Oryzias latipes: one gene and its partners. The protein of the gene in region 2 binds, or shares a complex with, the protein of the main gene of each other region. Links are inferred from orthologs where the notes say so. Each region holds a gene or a part of one and is shown on either strand. Other genes may lie near its edges.

What was found.
Region 1: ahi1 (region 2) and b9d1 share a complex: the UniProt entries of both Homo sapiens proteins name them as parts of the tectonic-like complex. The link is inferred for Oryzias latipes from reciprocal best matches to the Homo sapiens genes AHI1 and B9D1.
Region 3: ahi1 (region 2) and cep290 share a complex: the UniProt entries of both Homo sapiens proteins name them as parts of the tectonic-like complex. The link is inferred for Oryzias latipes from reciprocal best matches to the Homo sapiens genes AHI1 and CEP290.

What each region holds. Positions count from the first base shown.
Region 1 is NC_019866.2:15,983,102-15,990,576, forward strand, and holds b9d1 (B9 domain-containing protein 1), read right to left. Parts: upstream 4,456-7,475; 5' UTR 4,316-4,455; coding exon 4,253-4,315; intron 4,123-4,252; coding exon 4,054-4,122; intron 3,935-4,053; coding exon 3,826-3,934; intron 3,721-3,825; coding exon 3,624-3,720; intron 3,554-3,623; coding exon 3,491-3,553; intron 3,047-3,490; coding exon 2,979-3,046; intron 2,786-2,978; coding exon 2,658-2,785; 3' UTR 1,412-2,657; downstream 1-1,411. Other genes in the region: epn2 (epsin-2), read left to right, coding at 1-108. UniProt on the Homo sapiens protein: Component of the tectonic-like complex, a complex localized at the transition zone of primary cilia and acting as a barrier that prevents diffusion of transmembrane proteins between the cilia and plasma membranes.
Region 2 is NC_019880.2:250,685-258,159, reverse strand, and holds the start of ahi1 (jouberin), read right to left. Parts: upstream 3,507-7,475; 5' UTR 3,226-3,506; exon of another isoform or gene 3,121-3,225; 5' UTR 3,057-3,120; coding exon 3,047-3,056; intron 2,980-3,046; coding exon 2,864-2,979; intron 2,768-2,863; coding exon 2,394-2,767; intron 2,311-2,393; coding exon 2,249-2,310; intron 2,134-2,248; coding exon 1,983-2,133; intron 1,904-1,982; coding exon 1,711-1,903; intron 1,641-1,710; coding exon 1,545-1,640; intron 1,475-1,544; coding exon 1,289-1,474; intron 1,218-1,288; coding exon 1,065-1,217; intron 981-1,064; coding exon 848-980; intron 1-847. UniProt on the Homo sapiens protein: Involved in vesicle trafficking and required for ciliogenesis, formation of primary non-motile cilium, and recruitment of RAB8A to the basal body of primary cilium.
Region 3 is NC_019864.2:2,330,918-2,338,392, forward strand, and holds the start of cep290 (centrosomal protein of 290 kDa), read right to left. Parts: upstream 4,899-7,475; 5' UTR 4,789-4,898; intron 4,576-4,788; 5' UTR 4,534-4,575; coding exon 4,429-4,533; intron 812-4,428; coding exon 734-811; intron 538-733; coding exon 468-537; intron 384-467; coding exon 337-383; intron 1-336. Other genes in the region: tmtc3 (transmembrane and TPR repeat-containing protein 3), read left to right, coding at 5,671-5,859, 6,044-6,262. UniProt on the Homo sapiens protein: Involved in early and late steps in cilia formation. Its association with CCP110 is required for inhibition of primary cilia formation by CCP110.

The DNA of each region.
Region 1 (7,475 bases), on a different chromosome or scaffold from region 2:
GCGACCGCGGGGATTCCAGCTTCAATGTCCATGCCACAGCCGCTGATGAGCATGCCTCCCCAGGCCGGGGCACAGCCCGCCGGAACCACTAACCCTTTCCTCTTGTGAAAGGAGGCGCAGTGAAGCCGGCGCTCTTTGATCTTCAAGAAACTTGGACACACACAAAGAGATTTCTTATTCCATTTATCCACTTATAACACACTCCTAACCAGGTTCCAGACACTGTCCTCCCGCAGTACCTTCCTATGCTACAAGCTGCCGGTCCTGTGTGAGACCTGAAGATGGCGCTGACCCCACACATGGAGGCAGGATGGGACATGGATCACAGGTGTACTGTCATCCATTCAAGTTTATTCCTCTTCTCCTCCGTGGAGGTGGGAGGAACATCTAACTATACTAACATCTGTCTCCTCTCTCCACACTCAAACTAATCTTTTATAAGCCCGTTAGCTGGTGTGTGTGTGGGTTGTGCGTGCACACCTCCATGCTTTTTACATTGTTTATTCCAGCGAATCCACCTACGGGATCCAGGACTCCAGAATTCTGTGTGAACGCGCGTCTGACAAACAGGAATTTTTGCACAATTTTTGCTTTTACTTTTCTACCCCCACCCCACCCCCCCGTGACTGTTGAGCTCACCGTTACACCTTAGCTTAAGAGGACGGCGGCGGCGGCCCTGCCCAGTGTTACAGTCATCACCTTCCTACTGACGGCTCACATCAACTCTGGGATCAAGACTCATCATTCCTTTGTGTGTTTGGTCTGTCAGACCTGCTCCAATCCTAACAACCGTACGCTCGCTAGCACGTTTTCCACCGTCTGCCACATGTTCTAAAGGAAACCACAGTATTCCTGTTTCCTGGAAAAAAGAGGAACTGTCGTAGCAAGGCATTGTGGAATCATTTGTTTTACATGTGTCTGTAGGGTTAAAGGGATTACGGAGGGTTTAAATGTGTGTGTGTGTGTGTGTGTGTATTTAGCTTCCAAGTGTACTTTCAAACCAGACTTCTTTTTTTTTAATTAAGTTAAAAAAAAAGTTAAAGTGCAGCTGGAAAGGAGCAAATTTAGTGATAAGCAGCCTTAAAATATTTGTGTTTGTGTGTACTTGTGTGTGTGTGTGTGTGTGTGTGTGTGTGTGTAGGCACCACTAAAGTGACTTGGTTGGAGTCCAGGGGTTTTTAAGGGCATGTCAGGAAGGAGTTTACCTGGTAAAGGATTTGCTTTAGCAACATACACATATACACACTCTTACAAACCAACACAGAAAAGTACCCAAACACACACACATATACAAAGAAACACAAATGCTCATACTCACTAACAGGGCTCTTCCATGATCTTTTTATTGCTAGTACAGAGGATCCCACAGTAAATACAAACTGTTTTTATTTTGTTGGATGTACATTTATAGTTTTTTTTTTTTTTAGCTGTGCAAAGCCGTTTGTCGTCGTGTCTACTTTGTGTACTTTTGTTTCACTGTATGGGTAGGCCGTGTAACACTCCTCTCTTAGAAGCACAACTATTTACCAAAGTGGAAGCAACTGTGATTTCTGGGGGTGCAGTGTGTAGAAAACACTACGACTAGGACCACATATCACTGACACTCGTTTGTTTTGTATTTAATACGTCAAAGCGCCAGAATTCCTTACACTTTCAACCGGTAGGTGCAGCGTCTCCACCTCTGATGGTATTGGAGGAAAAAGAGGGATCTGCACCTGCTGTGTTCTGAGTCAGCTCTGTCTTCAGTTGGACTTGCCAGCATTTACAGTGGGAGCTTTCTCTCGGAGTGGTTTGGCGCCCCCTCGTGGTTACCTATGCTATTACATATATATTAGGCTTAAAATGAGGGATCGCTAAAGCTGCGTTTGATATTTACTCTGCAGCGAATGTTTTTTTCACTCTGACAAAAAAGATGCAAATATTTGAGTAAGAAAAAAAAACAAAGAAGCTCAATGCTACGTTTGTCTTTTCAAAATAAGATTTACTAAAAAAATGTTTCTGGAACAAACACCAAGGAAGCCACTTTCCTACAGAGTAACACTTTAAAACAATATTTTTTCCAGTCTGAACAGATAAAACATCATTGCATTTGTTTAGGCAATGACAAATGATAGAAAATAAAGGCGAAATGTAGTGAGCTCTTGTGTTTCTGCTTCTATAAAGAGGACCGACTGACCTTACAGGCTGTATTTCTATACATATTCAGACTCTTGGTTTTTCTCTTTCATGTGCGTCCAGTTACTTTCTCATAGCACTGGGTGCAGGCTGCTTCTTTTTTTAAAAATGTTTATTGGATTTATACTCCCCCCCCTGTTGGCATTATAACTGTATGATATAATTTATCATTTGTACTATTGTAACATACTGTTTTTCTCTATTCCCTATCATTCTGTGTAATGGGTTTATTTTGTAGGAAAAGTCGTTGTGGTATTTTAACGGCATCTAAACAAACGAGCGCAGCAGGCGGATGGAGGAGGGCGGGTGTAGCTGCGTCGTTTCAAAATAAAAGGTTTCACTGCAGCTCCACTGTCTTTGCTTTTGTGTAGTCTTTCAACCAAATGCAGCACTTGGTGTTTATTAAAAAAACTGTTCTGCAAAACAATATATATAGAAATATGCATTTAAGTACAAATGTATAAAAAGATTTGAGGCTTGTGTTAGAAAGCGTCCACGCCACCAGCAGTCTGGGGGTTGGACGGTCCCGTGTCGTAGCCCATCTTCTTCATGTCTTTGGTGGTGATGTGGAAGGAGACGGTGACAAAACCTTGAGAACGAACTCTTGTTACTGCAGAACAAACACGACAGAGCGGGACTTTAGTCTTTTTGTCATTTCAAATACAAAATAAGTAAAAAAAAGGATGGGGGGGTTTAAAATAAACACTTTTATAATAATTGATTTGGTTTAGAAGCACCTCTGGGACACATTTCAAAGTGAACGACTCTTGATGCAGTAGGAAAATAAAAGATTCCTCACGTACCTTCTCTGCCTTCACCCTGCGCCACTACTTTAGGGTCTGTGTACTCCGGTCTTCGCCCTAGCAACCAGCTAAATGGGGGGAGGGGGGGGGATTTTTTAGTACTTTTAAAAAGTTATGATGAAAAAATGTTTTGTCTTACATTTATGTTGCTTTTCCCCAAAATTTTGAGGAAAGTTGCTTTTAAATTTATAACATTTTGACAAAACAAGAACCAGAGACTGCACAAGAGGAGCAATACACCTACTTTACATAAAAAAGGAAAAGAATGTTTGTCCAATAGTGGGGTTCAGCTAAATTAAGGTCCTAAAAATATCTTTTTTTCTAATGAATTACAATCTGTGGTTTTCTAACATGATGCTAACAGGAAGTAATAGATATTAATGGGAAGCATGTTCACCGCAGAAACCCATTATTGGGTTTTTGATGGAATCAAACCCCCACACTCAGGGGAGGGGACAACATTCGATTAGAGCTCAGCTGCTGTCTTTAGTCTTCACAGCAAAACGCCTCACCCTGTGAACTTCTGGAGTCTCCATGTGGGCTCGGGAACAAACATGGGAATGGTTTTAGTGTGTCTATGGAGAAACAACAACCTGTGGTTAAAGGGGAAAGACAAAGAAGAGGTTTCATGGAGGTGAGACTTACTGTCCGGGTGTGATAGGGATGTGGGTCGCTCCATAGCCCCTCACCACATCATTGCCAAACACATCAGGTCCATACACACTGATCACAATCTGAGGCCCTAAAAGACAAAAACAATTTAAAAAAATCATTTTTAAAACGCAATCCTTGAATAATCAAGTGATTCATCATAAACTCAGTCTGTGGGGGTTTTTGTGAGGCTCACATCCAGATGGATTGGTGCTCTTAAACGTTGTTTCCAGAGGAAAGTTCCAGACTAAAGTCCGTGACAAACTGCTTTTACAGGTGATCTGGGTGATGCCCTCTTCTAGACCCTGCAATAAATAAAGCCTAAAATTAAAAACAACCAAACCACGCATACTTTAAAAAAGGCTGTTTTATGAGGAATTATGGGTAATATGCCCCTATCAGACGGCTATAGACGCGGACTCACCGTCGTAATGGCCCAGTCGTGTCCGTAAACGTAGGAGTATTTGCAGTAAAGGCTGTCATACTCTGGAAACTAAATAGCAGAAAACATTTTAGAGTAATAAAAGAAATCAAACGAGGGGAAAATATCTGTAGCTCGCTAGATGTGGCTAAAGCTAGCTAAAATATTAGCTAACATGCTAAGACAAAGCCGCAAAACTCACGTTCGCTCCCTCTATTTGTCCGTTTACAGTAAGAAGGAACAACGACGGGTTACTCGAAGCCATCTATTAACGTCTTCTTTAATTCCTTCACAAACTATCATTTAACGCTAGTTTTAAACCCGTTTGTAAGAGGAAATTGATTAAACTCGCAGCCGTTGCTAAGGCAACGCGTGTTTTTCCCTACGGAAACCCGCCAGAGTCAAACAAAACGAGAGCGCGTTAAAATAAGAACCTTTACCGCCACAAGATGACAGCATTGTTAAAAAGAAAAGCGCTTCATTAAATGCCGCAGACTAAAGTCACATAAGGAGATGTCATCAAGCATTAACAAGAAAACAATAATTAATCGAACTGTATCAAACTAATTGTGATTTTAAGCGGCATTTTGCCTTGTTTTTGTCCATTTATTGTTATTTTTTTATTTTATTTTTTTTACACCGTCATTTTTGTTGATATTCGGACTACCGTTTTGCTTGGTTTATGAATAAAAAAATTATGGAAAAAATTGAGGAAATTTGTATCAATGAAAAGATTTATGTTTTCTCAAATTAATCAACATCTTTTACACATTTGGAGCCCTTATATTAAGCGAAAACTTTCTTGATAAATTATACATACATTGCAAATGTGTTTTTTCAATTTCTACCACTTTCAATTGAATCCTTTGCTCCAATTTCCCCTAACTTCTTTCTCTCCCATCCTTGCTTTTCTCCATTGTTTTCAGTTCTCGTCCACCTCCTTCCTTCTCTCTTTTTTCCGACCTTTCTAATATTTGTTCGGCCCCTCACAACTTTTTCGCCCTGTTCCTGTGACTTCCTCCTCGTCCCTCTGACCTGCTTTCGTTCTCCTCTTCCCTCCTCCTTGCTGCCAAATCCCTCATTTAGAGTCTAATGAGCAGCAGCCCATGTTTTCAGCTGGTCAATTCAAAGAGGTCATCTGGTCCACAAGGGCTCATGATTCTCTGCAACTGCTTTGCACAACCCTTCTGTGACAATATGAAGCCATAAATGATGAAAATGATGAGATGAACAGGAAACACCCCCTCCATCCGGCATCTGCGACCTCCTTTAAGTCCCTTTTCGTGATTGATAGTGACACTTCACACTTCTTTCGAGAACAGAGATTTTTTTCCCCTTTTTGTTCAAGTCAGTTCTGCCAGAGATATAATGGAAATCAGTCCCTAAAGAGGCCTTCACCGATTTCACCAGAGAGCCAGATTCATTCCAAATATGAGTGGCTGAAAAATGGATCAAGAAAAACAGAGGAGCAGCAGAGAAAACACTTTAATGGTCACAAAATGTCATTTCTAATAATGATGAACCAGGGAGTCACATTTTCCAGATATGTGGGGAAGAACATGGAAAAGCATATATGGCAGAAAGGAGATGGGGGTAATTAGTAAAGAACCGGAGAAGAGGAGCAATCAAAATTGGAGAGGAAGTGGACACAAGGTATGAAGATAAGCTGATGACTAAATATTGAGTGAAGTGCAAATTACATAGCGAGAAAAGAAGAGACTGAATCTTTCAAATAAGTCGGCAGCCATTGTGATAATTGTGAAAGGGGATCTGCGGCCCACCCACACAGGGCATAAATCTGCGCTGTCTTAGTCCCATGAAGGTTTTTCTGTTGGCTTTGCTGCAGCTGTCAGAGCTGTCACCTTCATCATCCTCAGGGCTCTTTTACATCACACAGTTCCCCTTACCATGGGGGAAGGCTGGGTGTGTCACAGGCAAGGGGGCAGTCACGGTTGAACTCCATTTGAAACCATTTTCAGCTAAGTGCACTTCATCAAGTAACCTCTGGGCAGCTTGGTGCTCAGGTAAGTTGTCCTTATTTCAAGACCCACTCCAGTTATCTTTGAGCTCTGTTAAAAGTGTTCTCAGTGGTCTGTTAATTTGCCAAAATCAACCCCATCTCCACTTCCAATCACCCATAACTCAGAGCTCTCTGCTCATGTGCTCTCCCCTAGCTTACAGCCCCTCACACCTCCAGCCTAACATTACAGGTGCAACACAAATGGCGACCAACATTGGAGCTATCCAGCTGTACAGTTTTAGCCAGATGCCAGCTCAAGTGAGGAAAACAAAGACGTACATGGATGTAGTCGTCTACAAGTGGATGCATCAGAATGGGGCGGAGCAGTGAGCTTACAGCTCGCCCATTGTAGTTTCTACATCACAAATACGGTCTTTCACAAAAGACAGTTTTTTAATTCACAATGATTTGAATAAAAAAATACTCAGAACTGGAATTTTGAGTTGAATTTTCTTTTGTTATGTCTTCCATCGTCAGAAAACATGCCACAAGAACATGTTAAAACACAATTTCCACTGGAGTTGGACTTTAACGTGCGATGTCCAATCAAACAAAATATACAAATTTACATTTGGGGTGGATTTTTCATTCTAGAAAACTTTTTTGATTACCTTTAAGAAACCTAACTGTGTTTTTTTTTTAACCGATTTTGCTAACAAATAAATTTGATTGACAGGTGACATCCAAATTGAAGCTAATATGTTCTGTTCCTTTGTTTGTTTTTGGAAACTTTGCGATGTCACATCCTGCCAAGATGGCAATAACCAGAAAATTGATGGTAAAAAAACTATTCGTAGATTATCCCAAAAAGAAGCCATCATTTACCTTAAAATGACTCCATAATCGATCCCTTTTAAAATAATCACCAAAAAAGAAGAGAATATAAAATATTTCTCTAAAAAGTGGGATAGTTGTTTACATAATTGGCCTCAATCTTTTTTAACTGTTAGAAGGGGCGTTTTTCTGCTCAGTTCTGATCACAAACAGATCAGTTTTGGACAAAGATCTGCGTTCAAATAAAAAAAAATGTTTTTGGTTTTCTACAAAAACACCAGCCAAATTAATTTTTTTATACCCAATTTGATAAAACCTAGTAAGTATTTGGAAAAATAACTCGTTAATATTTATATAGTATCATCAAAGAAATTAAGTTTAAATTTAGTTTTCAATTTTTTTCTGATGTCAGAGTCAACATTCAGAAATGTTTTTATTAGTGCAGAATATACCCTTACTTTGATTTGGGTTCAACCCCTCTGGACAGCACTATGTAGTATGAGAAATAGAGATATGTAATAATATTACGTAAATCAATTTTGGATTATTGCATTTATTTAATTATTTTAGTTTTAGAGTTAAAAGACTTTGAATTTCAGAAGTCACACCTGGGACTATTTTTCATTTTCCC
Region 2 (7,475 bases):
TTAACATTAAGTTAAATAATCTCTAAATACTAGCCAGTCTGACAATAAGCCTGTCCACAGAGGAATGTTTTCAGTCTAACTTTGAATGTAGAAACTGAGTCGGCCTCTCTTCCATGAGCTGGGAGTTTATTCCATAAGACAGGGGCTTGGTGGCTAAACGCTCTACCTCCAACCGTACTTTGACTAATTCTAGGAACCACAAGCAGTCCTGCATTTAGTGAGTGAAGTGTTCTGATTGGATGGTAAGGGACTATGAGGTCCTTAATATAGGACGGGGCCATTCCATGTAAGGCCTTATAGGTTAACAGGAGGATCTTGAACTTGATTCTAGAATCAACTGGGATCCAGTGAAGTGAAACTAACACAGGAGTGATGTGATCTCTTCTGCTAGTTCCTGCTAACAATCTAGCTGCTGCGTTCTGAACAAGCTGGAGACTTCTTAAGGAACTCTTAGGACACGCTGCTAACAAGGAGTTACAGTAATCCAGCCTCCACGGAACAAATGCATGGATGAGTTTTTCAGCATCATAGCAGTATTCTACAGGTGAAAAAAGGCAGTTCTACACGCCTGAGATATGTGAGCCTTAAATGATAAATCCTGGTCAAATAAAACCCCAAGGTTTCTAACTGTGGAATTGGGGGCTATACTTATGCCATCCAGGGAGACTATCTGAGCAGACAGAGCATCTCTGAGGTTTTTATAGTATAATGACCTCAGTTTTTTCTGGGTTCAGGTCATTAATTGTCATCCAGGTCTTGATGTCTCTGATGCAGACATTGTCCACACAAGAACACAAACGCTGAGCGTCTGAACAGACAGAAGTGCAGGTGTGTCTTTGCCTCTCACCTACAACAGGAAAAGCGTCTCTGTCTGCGCAGGCAGCTGCCAGGATGCTTCCAGCGTTGGAGAAGAGCACGCTGAAGCAGCCCATGTGACCCCCCCGGAAGCCCAGGACGTGCTTGTTGGGAATGCTACAGACCTGGAGACACGGTGAGGATTTCAGCAGCTTTAGAGCATCTCCTCGTGCACACCTGTGATCAGGCGACCCCGGCGGTCCTCGTACCTGTCCGGGCAGACGGCGCCACCTCAGCTCCGGCTGCCGGCTGTCAGCCGTCTGGGGGGGGGTCCTGCTGGAGACCTGCTTCTGCAGCTCGCTGTAGGAGGAACTGCCCCTCTCCTCTTGTAACGCCATCATGGAGCGCGTGCTGGGGTCCACCTGCAGCAGAGTCCAAACCCTGTGACCCGGTCCGTCCTGGGTCAGTGCAGAGCAGGTGAAGCGGCACTCACGTGTGCGGGCAGCTGGATCCCCCTCACCGTGACGTACAGGGTGGAGGCGTACTTGCTCCTGGGGAACTTCCTCCACCACTCGAACACCTCGATGGTTTTAGGCTGTCTTTTAGCCCGCGGGGGGGGACAGAAGAGCTGGAGGCGGAGCTTACTGTCCACGTTCCGAACGCCGTTTGCACCGACCAGCTAAAGTGCAGAATAGAAGGTGCAGCGAGCGCAGACCCCCCCATGGGGAACATGCAGACATGTGTGTTACCTTCAGGAACGCCCAGGCGATTTTCCGAAAGCCGCTCTCGTGTCCGTCAGCGTCGGCGTTGGCCCGCGCCTCCTCCATGGTCACGAAGTCCAGGATCTGCACGCAGCAGGGGGGGCGGTTGGTGCAGCTGCGAGCGACTGAAGGTGTTGGGTGGGGCGGCTCCTACCTCAAAGAGGAGCAGGACTTTGGGGCTGCACTCGTCCTGCTGAAGGAAGTGGCTGAAGCGCTCGTTGAAGAGGATCTGCTCCTCCCACTCAGGAACCACGGACTTCCTCCTCCTGAAGTCGAAGGGCTGCGTCATGACGGGCAGGATGTGGTCCACGTTCTCCCCCTCGTAGAAGGAGACGGCGGGCCGGCGGCTGCAGGACCACAAGAACCTTCCTTTAGAACCTGCGGGCGGATGGGGGCGGGTGGGTCCGGAGGACGGCGCCGCCTCACCGGTCGTCCTTCTTCACGTACTGGCCCGTCCTCTCATCCACCACGTGGATCTTCACCATGGGGTGTGAGATCAGCAGATCCGTCCTGAGGGGGTCGCTTTTGTGGACAAACACCCCCAACACCAGGTCGTCCTCCTCACCTCCACCCCCCCCTGAGAAGATGATAGTTTTGCATCATAATGCGTTCTTTCAGACCCCCCCCCCCCCCCCTGCACACTCAGTCTGTTTCTGAGCTGCTCCCATCTCCTCACAATTTACAATTTTAACCTTGTTTTTCCTCGCCCCCTCCCCTGGGCTGCTCCTGGGTTTGGCCCCCTCCCGGCGGACTCCTGCAGAGAAAGGAGGTTTATAGAAATGACCCTGAGCGTGTCAGACACAAGAATAACCTGCAGGTGCGTTCAGGAACCCCCACCCCCCATCCGTGGTCACAGCTTTCTTTTTCTTCTTGCTGTTCTTTGGGGGGGGGCCGTCTCTCCCCCTCCCGCTGGCTTCCTGTGCGATTCTGCGCTGATATTCCTGCAGAAGTTTGTCTTCATCGTCTGCGGTTCTGCTGCTTTTCTGACTTCTCCTTTTGCCCCCCCCCTCTGAATCTAAAGCCTTCCTGGACTCAGAACCCCCCTCCTCCTGTTTGACAGATGCCCCCAGGTCCCCTGTGGCAGGGAGGGGGGGCAGCTCCCTCTTACTCCTGGTGCTGACCACCTCCGCCCCCCGGTTGTGGTTCTGGAGGGCGGTCCGGTCGTCCTCGGAGTCCCTCCCAAGGTGCAGATCTTTGATCAGGTTCTGGAGCTAGAGGGGTGGGGGGCAAGGAAAACCTGTGTTCGTGATTAGAGCAGAGACAGTCTCACCTGTGAACAGGTGACCCACCCCCCTCCATAAACCCACCACCACCGTCTCCTTCTCTGCGCTCTTCTTCCTGGACTTCTTCCTCCTGGACTCCGTATACACCTCAAACGCATCATTGAATCTTTCCCGGGTCTCTGCTGGCTCCTCCCCCTCACCTGTACAGGTCAGAAAAATCAGATCAAGGGATTTCTGGGACAACCCCCCCACCCCACCTCACCTCACCTGCTGGCATTGTCAGGCACCGGTGTCATTCCCGCCAGGAAATTGAGTTTATACCGGAAGTGAGGGGCTACACTCTGGAAACCAAAACACAGGGTGGGTTATCTGACCCCCCACCCCACGCTGAGTGGATCCTGTAGCAGGAGCAGGTGAACAGGACTGACGTGTAGGTGTCTGTTCACCTGAGGCTCGGCATAGAACTCCAGAGAATGTTCCGTCTGTAGCAGCTAGCTTAGCGCTAGCATGAACCGAGCGGCTTTACGAACTTCAAGGCTCACGAAACAAAAACGCCTATGGTCCCAGAAAAATACCGCGACCCTCAAAGAGACCGGACCCACGCGACCAGGCGGGAAAAAAAACGTTTTAGGCCTCTGGGTGCCGCGTGCCTTTCAGTTCCACCGACGCCGCGCTTCGGTTTCCAGGCCAACGCGGGGGCGGGGCTTGAGAGCCTCTTGGTGATGCATTTACACAAATACAGAATCCACCAATGAACTTAAGGCATCCGGAGCTGCAGTGCATGACCTCATCATGCGCTGCGTTTAGGGACCAGGAAAAGCTCGGAATATGAAAAGTTATCAATGAAAAAAAAAACAACAACCTCGAAATGACTAAATGTTTCTGCTATGTTTCAGAATGCAATTGACACAGCTCATGATTCCCATTAACATTTAAATATTTATTTAAGTTTCAGATTTTTATTACAGAAGATAAATGACATTCTGAAATAAGCAAACATTACACTACACTTGCAAACATGAGTAAAAAATACACTCAAATATAGTTGCACATATTTTTCCACTCCACATATAGTAGTAGGTTTAGGGGCTGTCATCTGGACTTGGTTTTTAAAGTTAGAAGACGTTTCACCTCTTATCCAAAAGGCTTTGTCAATGACTTGAAAGATATGAAAACTCTAATAAATCTGGAAAATTTCTAGCTAATCAGCTTAAAATTAATAGAGAAAAATCATCAATCACTTCTATTATGGACCAAACAGGAAATGTCACCCATGACCCGGTCAAAATTAATAACACATTTGAAAACTTTTATAAAAACTTGTTCACACCACAGATCAATCCGTCAGAGCAAAGTATTGACTCATTTCTTAATAATGTAAACCTACCCAGGTTAAATGAGGATCAAATCACAAACTTAGATTCTCCACTCTCGCCGTCTGAACTTCATGAAGCTCTGTTACTTATGCCTAATGGTAAAGCACCAGGGCCTGACGGCTTTCCTGCTGAGTTTTATAAAGAATTCTGGGAACAACTGGCACCAACATTTTATAAAACTGTCACATCTATCAATGAGAGCCAATCAATGCCACCTAACATGAACTCAGCCAACATAATCCTCCTTCTAAAACCAGACAAAGACCCCACTAGTCCTTCAAGCTATCGCCCCATTTCTTTAATCAATGCAGATGTAAAAATTATCTGCAAAGCACTAGCACAGAGAATACATGCAGAGAATACTACATGCATGCACTGTGGTTCTGCACGCCTGTCCAGGCTCTCTGGCAGCAGGTATGTGCCGATTTATCAGTCTGGCTTAAGGTTTCAATCACAGCTTCACCGTCACTTTGTGTGCTTGGTGACATGAGTGCCATCGATGTAGAAGGAGGATTAGGCTCTATCATTTTCATAACTCTTTGCATTGCTAAAAAACTATTTTAATAAATTGGAAAAACAAGAAAAATATAAACATAAATCAACACAGAAATCTGCTGCTTGATCATATCAGCTTGGAAAAAAGCTGATATGAGGGGTGTGGGGGTGTGTGGTGGGGGGGATGGAGTGGTGGTCTGGCTCGGCTTGGGGGGGTGGTCCTTTTGCCTGTGCTGGGGGGGGTTGGCGACCAAGAAAGGACAGATGAGTGACGTTTACTTCTGTGTAACATTTGTAATATTAAGCATATAATGGAAGTTGTTTATCGTATAATTGAAGTTACAGAATCAAATGTGAGAGGTTTTTTTTGGAATCAAGTTATTTTTTGAGTGCCTGTGTCGAACACATGTGAAGAATCGACAATGAAGTTGACTTTGACATTTGCGATTAAAATATTCTTTGATCCAATTTTAAGACAAACTTTAAAATTAAAGAATTTTTTTCATCAAAATAAAATATGTATTGTATATGTGTATGAATTCTAACCGTATGTCACAAAACAGACTGACGTCTGGATCCGAATGCAGCAGGTTTATTAGCTCAGCTAAATGTCCACAAAGCTAAATCAGGGTCAGGCTGGCTGGCAGGAGTCGATAACAAGCACACGTTCATCAGTGGAGAGACGGGAGAAGTCAGGATCCAGACAAGAGTCGGGGCAGGCGCCAGGCAGAGTCACAAACAGGGTCAGGACATCAGGAAATCAGGAAATTTAGAAGATCAGATGCAGCTATAACGCTCGGTAATGCGGGCAGATTGGCGCAAACAAAACTTCACACTGAGTGAGGCTCAGTGCAGTGATTAAGTACTGTGAGTGATTGCACATGACAGTCAGGTGTGTGGCATCCAGAAACTATGCGCTGGGGTTGCTGGGAGATGTAGCGTAAAGAGAACTCTTGAGACGGTTTCCACCGTTGGCCAAAGTTCTAAACTCCTGAAACTTTTTCCCCAGTGTACACAGAAAAGCATAATAACATAAAAATCTGGGCAGACTTCATTTCTGCAGAAGAGGTAAAACACAGAAATGTTTTAAACAACTAATTCAAATGGAGCATCAGCAACTCTTCAAATTCACTGATGTCAAACATTCTGGATTTGTAAACGGCGTGTGACAGATTCAGGTCGATGCCAGCCGTTCAGAAGTGGCTGTGGTGCAGCAGTATGGACGGTCGACCCCTGATTGTAAGATTGCAGGTTTAATTCCTGCATGGCACATCCATGTGTGGAAGTGTCCTTGGGCAGGACACTAAACCCCACACTGCCTCTGGTTGAAGGTTGGCGCCAGTGTGTGGAAGCGGAGCCACCATCAGTGGGTGTATGGTGACGGATCTTTGACTCAAAGCGCTTTGAAGGAAGGTAGAAAGGCGCTAGATAAGTAAACGCCAAGCGAAAAGCGTTTTTGGGACATTTCACATGCCTCTGTTTGGTGCAGTGGGATTCGATTGTTGTCCCTCCAGATTCCAGATTCAAGTTGGCCACTGTCCTAGGCTGTGGATCCTTTCTCTGGCTCGTCTGGCACCCCCAGCCCCCCCCCCAACTCCATCTGGATGAAGCTCGTCTGCTGGACTTTATATAAGTAGTTGTAGATTTAGATAAGTTAATTCTTCTCTAAGAGTTCTGGTAAATCACCTGTCCGTCCTGGGGGAGGATCCCTCCTTCATGTGGACACCCCTGAGGTTTCTCCATTTTTGCCAGAATCTGTTTTTTAGTTTTTCCTCACAGAGAAGGGGGGGGCGGGGTCTAAGGGCAGCAATGTCAGTTTAGTTAAGCAATTAGCTATTGTTCATATTTTATGACTAACTCTGTCTTTGTACAATTCTTGGTGTGAAGCCCATTTAGACAACGGGGGTGTGATGTTGGGCTAGATACTGTAAATAAAATTGGATTTCATTTTTTTGCCATCCAGAAACATGAATGTCCTGGTTTGGAGTGGCTGTAACGTCACATGCTGACTCCAGAGCTTTGGGGGGGGGGGGGGGGGGGGTTCCTCTGTGCTGCAGGGAGCCATGTTTTACAGGGAAATCCTTTTGGGGGGGGCGTCTGAGGATGACCACTCTGGAGACGCTCAGATGACCTCTGAACGAGGAACCACAGTAGACAAACGGTGCCATGGTTAGAAACCGGACACTGCTTCAGTCATTCCACACAAACACGCTCAACGCCCTTATAGTGCTTAAACGTCACACACACACGCAGCCCCCCCCCCCCATGGCAGTACACTCTTCTAATTCTTTGACTTTGTGGAGCATTCCGGAAAGGTTGGGAGCTCAGGGATTTGAGTTTCTAAGCTACCAAAGACTTAGAGAGCAGGCAGCCACTCCCACCCACTCGTTGGTGGGTTTGGATCTCCTCCAAGCCTGAAAGTGCCGGCAGAGACCTGCACTCCTTGAAGGCCACAGAAGACAGTGTGTCCTCGCCACGGTTCAACCCTCTGGTGGGAACCATCTCCAACCCTATCTGCAGGGTTCTCGCTCCCACTGGCAGCTTGACAGCATCTTCAAAGGAACCTTTATGTGGAGGCTCCGTGTTCTCTTTGGGTCGTCTTTCTGCCTGCAGAGATTCAGCAAAATAAAATATGAAAAGTCAAAGAGGCGTTATGAAAATTATGCCGGTAAATCCAGAAGCTAAGAAAATCAATTTGGACCTATTTCCATTTACAGTTAGTCCACAAAAATTTAAATACTGAGGTATTTGGATTACACACTCATGTAAAGATGTTTTTAAGGCTAACTACATCCCATAATTAACTCAGTTCAAAAAAGATCTGG
Region 3 (7,475 bases), on a different chromosome or scaffold from region 2:
AATTAAATGTAATCTTCTTAGGTGCTGTGTCTCTGTGGTCACTACAGCCAATCCTGTGGTGGCCAGGGTTGCACTCTGTGATTGGCTCAAAGAATTGGCTCTGCTGCCAGAAGTAAATAGGCATGAAAAGTGATTTCACGTCACATGCATGAATGACGTGTTTTTATTTCTTTTATTTTGCCTTATTAAATTTGCAACAGTGGCTGCAGTCATGCTTGCAATTACAAAAAGAACATTTTAGTAGTTCTTGGAAGAACACAGAGCACTCTGCAGCAATGCACACATGAAGTGCAGAGGAACTAATGGACCAAACTAAACCTCAAAAGCCTTACTTACCTTTAGATCTTGTTCCAGCCTGGATATCTTTGCGAGGAATTCCTTCTCTAAGGGATACAGAAATTAAAAGCTGTGTTGTTTGTGTTTTTTAAGCTAAAAAGAAAGCAAGGTAGGTGAAACCGTGCACTGACCAGTTTTGGCATGTTGCATGCCGATCTCATTTATGAAACTATCACTGAGAGCAACTTCCCGATCTTTCCTCTAAAGGGAAAAGAGAGTTGACTTAAAAATGACAGGCACGTATCAATAATGGAGTCAGCATGTGTCCAAACAAACATCTGCATCAAGACTGTGTCTTGCACATAGAATCTTCTGTCTTCATAGAAGACATGCTGGTGGGGCAGTTAACAGATGCTCAATGTAGAGATCAAAGTGTAGAAATAATAAAACCTGACACCTTCAAGAGGGCCTGACACACCCTGAGGATGTGAATAATGTCCTCTGGAGCTTTATCCTTCACCTCCCATTCTTCTGTCTGTGTGGAGAAAAAATGGTTCAAATGGCAGAACTGCCAACAGCAGAGTCATTTTACATCATAATAAAACAAAAGTCCAAACTTAAACAGCGAGAGGTCAAACCAAGAGTGTCTGTTTATTTACAGCCTATAGGATTATTGCTACATACACACATTTTTCCCCAACTCATAGCAGTTTAAAGACACTGTTTATATTTTAAAGCTGAATCAGCAGCAGTGGGCTGCTATGTGAGATCTCCAGTGAGAGCAGGCAGAATCAAAGCTGCTGAGTGGGTACATTCTGCTGACTTAGCCAAACAGCTAAAGGTTGTCTTCATCCATCTATCCCACTCATCCGGGACCAGGTCGCAGGGGCAGAAGCCTTAGCAAAGGTACCCAGACTTCCCTCTCACAGGTCACTTCCTCCAGTTCCTCTGGGGGGATTCCAAGGTGTTCCCAGACCAGTCTCTTCAGCCTGTCCTGGGTCTTCCCTGGGGTCTCTGCCCAGTGGGACCTTCCCAGGGAAGTGTCCAGGAGGCATCCAGACCAGATGCCTGAGCCACCTCAACTGGCTCCTCTGGATGTGGGGGAGCCGCAGTTCTACTCCCAGCTCTCTCTGGGTGACATGCAGCCACCATGCAGAGGAAGATCCTTTCAGGCGGTTGCATTAAGGGCCTTGTTTTTTCGTTCATGACCCAGAGTTCATGGCCATAGGTGAGTATTGGAACAAAGATTGATCGATAACAAGAGAGATTCGCTTTTCAACTCAATAAAAAACCGACCATTGACTGAATAAGAGAACTGGGCAGAGTCAGTGTGACGTCACCCTTAGAAAATGGTTTAATTCCGGCTCCAACCTAATGCATTTAATTAAGTTACCATTTTTCACAATACGGTTCCACCAAGTCGGAGTCAGACGACGTCTGCAAGCAGTAGATTGAATGGTCCGAGTCAATCTGAGTCAATGTCTCTATGGCAACCACTCTCACCAATTAGGAGTACCGGTAAGCTTGTTAGAAGTCCATTCCCCTTTCACTAAAAGTGGGCTCGGGAAAGTCTGTCGATCATACATTTCCAACATTCGAGGTAGGGGCCAGTGGGCACCACATGCTTTTATTGAGGCATCTGATTGGTCTGTTTATTATGAAAATATCATTTTAAAAAATAAGGATTATTAAGAACATGTTAAAAACAAGGAGAAGAGAAAGAATAGTTATTTTGTCAAATAAACCTACAGAGTTTTAGCTGTTTATTTCTCATAGAAGTCTATGGGATTTTGGCTTCTTGGAGACCACAGTAACTTGCTGTTTGGAACGCAAGAGGGGAGGGTTTACTCAGTCCAGTTCTCAGTCAATGGGACAGAGAGAGCAACTGCTTAACAGCAGACACTTCTCCAATCTGCCTTTCCATCTCATACTCCGATCTTCTCTCACTCATGAACAAGACCCCACTATACGTCAACTCCTCCATCTGGGACAAAAGCACTCCACCCACCCAAAGAGGACAAACTACCTTTCTCAGATAAAGAACCATGGCCAGACTTAGCAGTGCTGACCTTCCTCCCAGCTGCTTCACACTCACCCCCAAATCACCCAAACACATGCTGGAGGTCTGGGCTCCATGAAGCCAACAGGCCTGCATCATCTGCAAAGAGCTGAGAGGAAATCATGTGGTCCCCAATCCAGACCTTCTCTGGCCCCTGCCTGAGCCGAGAAATTCTATTGATTATAAACAGAACCAGTGAAAGAGGGCAGTCGGAGTCCAACATGAACTAGGAACAGGTCCGACTTACTGCCGGCTATGCAAACCAAGGTCCTACTACGGTCATAGAAGACCAGATATCCCTCAGGAAGAATCCTCTAACTCCATACTCACAGAGCATCCGTTACGTTACCACAGGAGACACTGTCAAATGCATTTTCCGGATCCACAAAACACATATAGACTGAATGAGTAAACTCCCATGAACCCTTCAGCGTCCTATGGAGGGTGTAGAGCTGGTCCATTGTTCCACAACCAGGCTAGAAACCACACTGTTGTGCCTGGAACTAAGGTTTGACTATTGGAAGGATTCTCCTTTCATGTAGGCTGTCATAGACTTTTCCAGGGAGGTTGAGGAGAGTGATTCCCCAGTAGTTGAAACACACCCACTTCTTGAAAAAAGGGAACCCCCACCCAAGTCTGCCAGTCCACTGGTACAGTCCACGACTGCCACGTGATGCTTCAGAGACATCTCAGCCAAGACAGTCCCACAGCATCCAGAGACAAAAAGCAGGCAACAAGCTCCCTGCTCCACCACATTCTGATGTATCAACTTGAAGACAAATAGAGCCATTGATTTAATTCTCCAGTTAATTAATAGCTCCAATATTAGTGATCATTTTTGTTGCACTGCTAATGTTAGCCTTTGGTTGTGAGGGGCTGTAAGCTAGCAGGAGAGAGTGTCAACAAAGGATTAATGGAATATCAGTGCAGGCAAACTCTGCCCCAATAGTCCTGCCCACAACTCAGGGATAAACCTCTGATGAACTCCTGCCACTCTGTAGAAACTATGTCCTTGAAAACAACACAGTTTTTATTTTGCCTAAAAACAGCATAATTATAATTAAGACTACTGGCAATGCTTTTATAATAGATCAAAAGTAGATTGGAGTGGGACCTCAACTTTCTTTTAAAACTATTTGTTTTCAGACAAAAGAAAAAAAAAAACATTTTACCTGATTCTTAATGTAAGAACTCACAATTTCTTCTAATTTTGTAAAATTAAATCCCAAATAGAAAAAACACAGACACACAAGAACATAAAACTCCAAAAGACAGGACAGACTCTAGCAGGCTTTTGAAAACACCCAGTGGTGACTGGCTTCAAGGGAGCAAGTTAAAACGCACATTTTAGGTTTGGCTAAAATATGATCCAAAAACTTCAAAAGACAGAAGGTAAATATTCATTTATCTTCTAATCTGTTTATATACGTGGCTGCCGGAGGCTAACCACTGCACCACCGTGCCGTCACAAGGTAAATAAATGATTAAAAATTTAAAAATGAGCTACATGGAAACTGCAAGTCCAAATCTTCACAGCTCCTCATTACTCTTGACAGGACATTTGAGGAAATTTTACAAACAGAAATGATTACTTTCCCAAATATCAGGTAAAACATGTATATTAAGTAATAATATTTGTCATGTTGTTGTTCAGGAGGTTGAGGTAAAAGATGAAAGGAATAGTGAACAACAAAAAAACAGAACATGTAGAGAATGTAGTAATGAGTGTAGCTGACCCTCTGAAGATATAAAGGCTTTTAAAGCATGTTTAAGTTTAAATAACCATGTATGAAATCAACTTTATGCAGAATTAACTGTTAAGAGATACTCTTCACATTAACCAGTCACTACAATGCTGCTCTTGGTAAAGGGGCAAAACATCAAATTGGGTGGGTGGGGTAATTTGTTTTTCTTAAGCTGCATTTTTAAAGTCATTTTGAATGCACTTTGACCTCAACAGGCGGTTTATTTAAATCACTTCTAAATTAGATTAACCCTTTTTGAATTATGGTAAAAAATAGCCCACTTAAGGTGCAATTTTCTTCCGAAGTAAGCTGTGGCAGGACTATCAGAGACAGTGCATGAAAGTTTACCGAAATAAGCATGCCGACGACCTCGTCCACTTTGTTATTTTTACATTCAAGGAGGATTCCTGGGTCAATCCCTGAAACCTTATTCCAGTCGAGAACGGTTGGCATTTTTTGACCGTTCGTAGCTAGTAGTGGTACTCAGGGAGAAAACTGCCAAGAAGAAGAAAATATTTAACGTCAAAAATCAGTCTTCAAATAAACGCATTGGAAACGTCATGTATATTATGGGTCACAGACTGATTATTGAAGCTGCACAACAATCTTCCTGAGGTCTGGCTGCTAGGTTACCGCTAACAACAGCTAGTCTAAAAAAATAAAAGCTAGTTACCATTAAAGTATAATAATAGAAGAGAATAAAATTACCGCATTGCGTGTAAACGGAATATTCGACATTATCCCTAAACTTGCCCTAGTCAAACAAATAATTTGTGGTCTAAACAAGACTACGATAAAACCTTGTCAAATTCCCTCTAGCCGCCTTCGGCTAGTTTTGAACGTGCGCGTTCACCTTTGAACCGGAAGAAGAGGTAGTTGGGATTCAGCTACGCTAGCAGGTACTCACAGCTACATTTGGATTAATCCTGCTCTTCTGTTCTGGGATATCTCAGTGTTTTGTGTGGGGTTTGCTGATGCTGTCGTCTGCTCTGGTGTAAGCTAGGTGACACAAATCGGAGTGTTTTGCAGTAACATTGAAATGCACGCAGATGCTTTCGAACGCAGCCTGGAATCAAGCTAGTTAGCCTTAGCTACCTGTCTGTGGAAGTATCTACTCTTATGACAAGTTACAGCAGATTGTTTTATCTTCTTTGTTTGTCAGTGTTTATGATAAACATTGCTATTAAATATTGATAGCAAAATGGGTTTCATTTGTTTCGCTTGCTTCACATGCAACGTTTCCCTTATGTCACCTGGACTACTGTGTGTCTAGCAGAACCAGAAAGTACTAGTAGTTGTTTATTATTTTGGGGGGTTCTTGAATTATTAACGGCGTTGTTGTTATTCAGTTGCATATATTAAAAGGGGTAGAAACCGGGGTGTTTTGCTTGGTAAGTAAATTGTTTAGTTTAGAGTTAAATTTGAACAGGTTGCACTGCAGCAGCTGCACTTTGACATCTAGTAACCTTTGGTCGCTTAGTTTGACCCGCATTTAAATTAAGCGGTTTCCATAATGGTTTATTAATTCCCCATAAATGATCAGTCCCGTTTGCTCTCCTTTGCAGTGATCAATGACGGCTTTTGTCAGAAATGGCTTTCGTGTCGTGGAAGGAGATTGTTCTTTTGACTGGACTGGTGGCGGGATGCTACTGGAACAGTCTGTCATGTGGGTTTGTGTTTGATGATGTCTCTGCCATCCTGGACAACAAGGACCTCCGGCCCGCAACCCCTCTTCACAACCTTTTTCTTAATGACTTTTGGGGAACACCTATGACTGAGGTAATGACTACATTTTAATGCCCTTTTAATCATGTTGCGCAAATACACGCTATCCTTGATGTTTGTATTGTTCTGCTCTGTTATATGAAACCAAGAATAGGAACTCCTTTCCACCATGTTTGAGTTTAAATGAAAAAAGGTAAACTTTCATCTGACAGTCATTGCCACCTGTGTCCCGTTGCAGGAGCGAAGCCACAAGTCTTACAGACCCCTGACAGTACTCACATTCCGACTGAACTACCTCTTCAGTGAGCTCAGTGCAGCTTCCTACCACCTGCTCAATATCATTTTACACGCTGCTGTGTGCGTTCTCTTCCTGCGTGTTTGCCGACTGTTCCTGGACAAGACCTCCGGTTTGGTGGCGGCTTTGCTGTTTGCTGTTCACCCCATCCACACGGAGGCTGTAAGTCTTTCTTAAGGTTTCAAAAATATTTGTTTCTGCAATAGCTTTTAAAGTTGTCTGAAATGGGGTTTAAGTCTCCTACTGTGTAATAATTTTGCGTTTTGGTTTGTCGACGTATTGTCTGAAGATGAATCTGTGAAAAACTGTTGTTTCTGGCAGCATCTGAATGACCCGTGTTGAGCTTCATTGTTGGTTAAATTTAGGCAGACCTGGCAAATTCCAAGTCTTCATCAAACAATGAAATCACTGGAGAGTTTTGGTGCAAGAGCCACTATTGCAAAGTCATACTTAGAAATAGAGCATACACTATAAATATTTATAACACGTGGGGCTCCGTTAACATCTACTCACTTGTTTTGTTGTTGAGTTAACTATCTCGTGCTGACGACTTATTTTATTAACGCTCTGACAGTAAACCTGTGTGTTAAACCCTGTCTGTCATGGCATTCTATCTTCAACCAATGCGCCCTCCTTTCCTTTGTGAGCGGTGATCACGCTTTATATAAGCATTCCACAATGAGATTAGTCATTACAAATGGTTTTTTTAGATTACAATGTTCTCTTATTTATTGCAGAAGTTATGTTCCAAAGTTGGCTGTTAACCAGTTGGAAGCCAACTTAACACAATCCGCTGTAAAATAAAAAATGCAGCGTACAAAATTACTGAAAAAACTCTGTGAAACAGCGAGACCGTAAATGGGATACAGTGAGGAAACACGACTTCCTCGTATGCAAGGCACGGATTGTTCATTTCTAATCACTGTTGATTTTTGACACATTCAAATCCTTTGAAATCTGTTTCTCTTTTGTGCTTGTTTCACAATGTAGAATTAGCAGTACATTTGTAATCATCTTATCAAAGACTACGAGTTCCTAGTTAAGCTTCTTTAACCCAATTGGAAACGACAAACGTCTTCTATATTGTGTCTTATTTTAATACTAACTCATTTACCTTCATTGGTAAACGTTTTTTCTGACCAATTAAGACGTGTAATGCAACCTTTTAAACGGAGCTAAAGCGATGCGCTGTCGGCAGAAAAACAAAGAGAACATTCTGCTTCCTTCATTGGAGTACTACAATTACACAGCAACAGCCCTTTTCCTGGTCTTCGCTAATCTTACAGGCTCTTAGACTTCTTGAATGAGAACAATTTGCCTCACAAATGAGCCCTTAGAGTTAGTCCATCAAATGCTCTTGGTGTTATCACGGTCT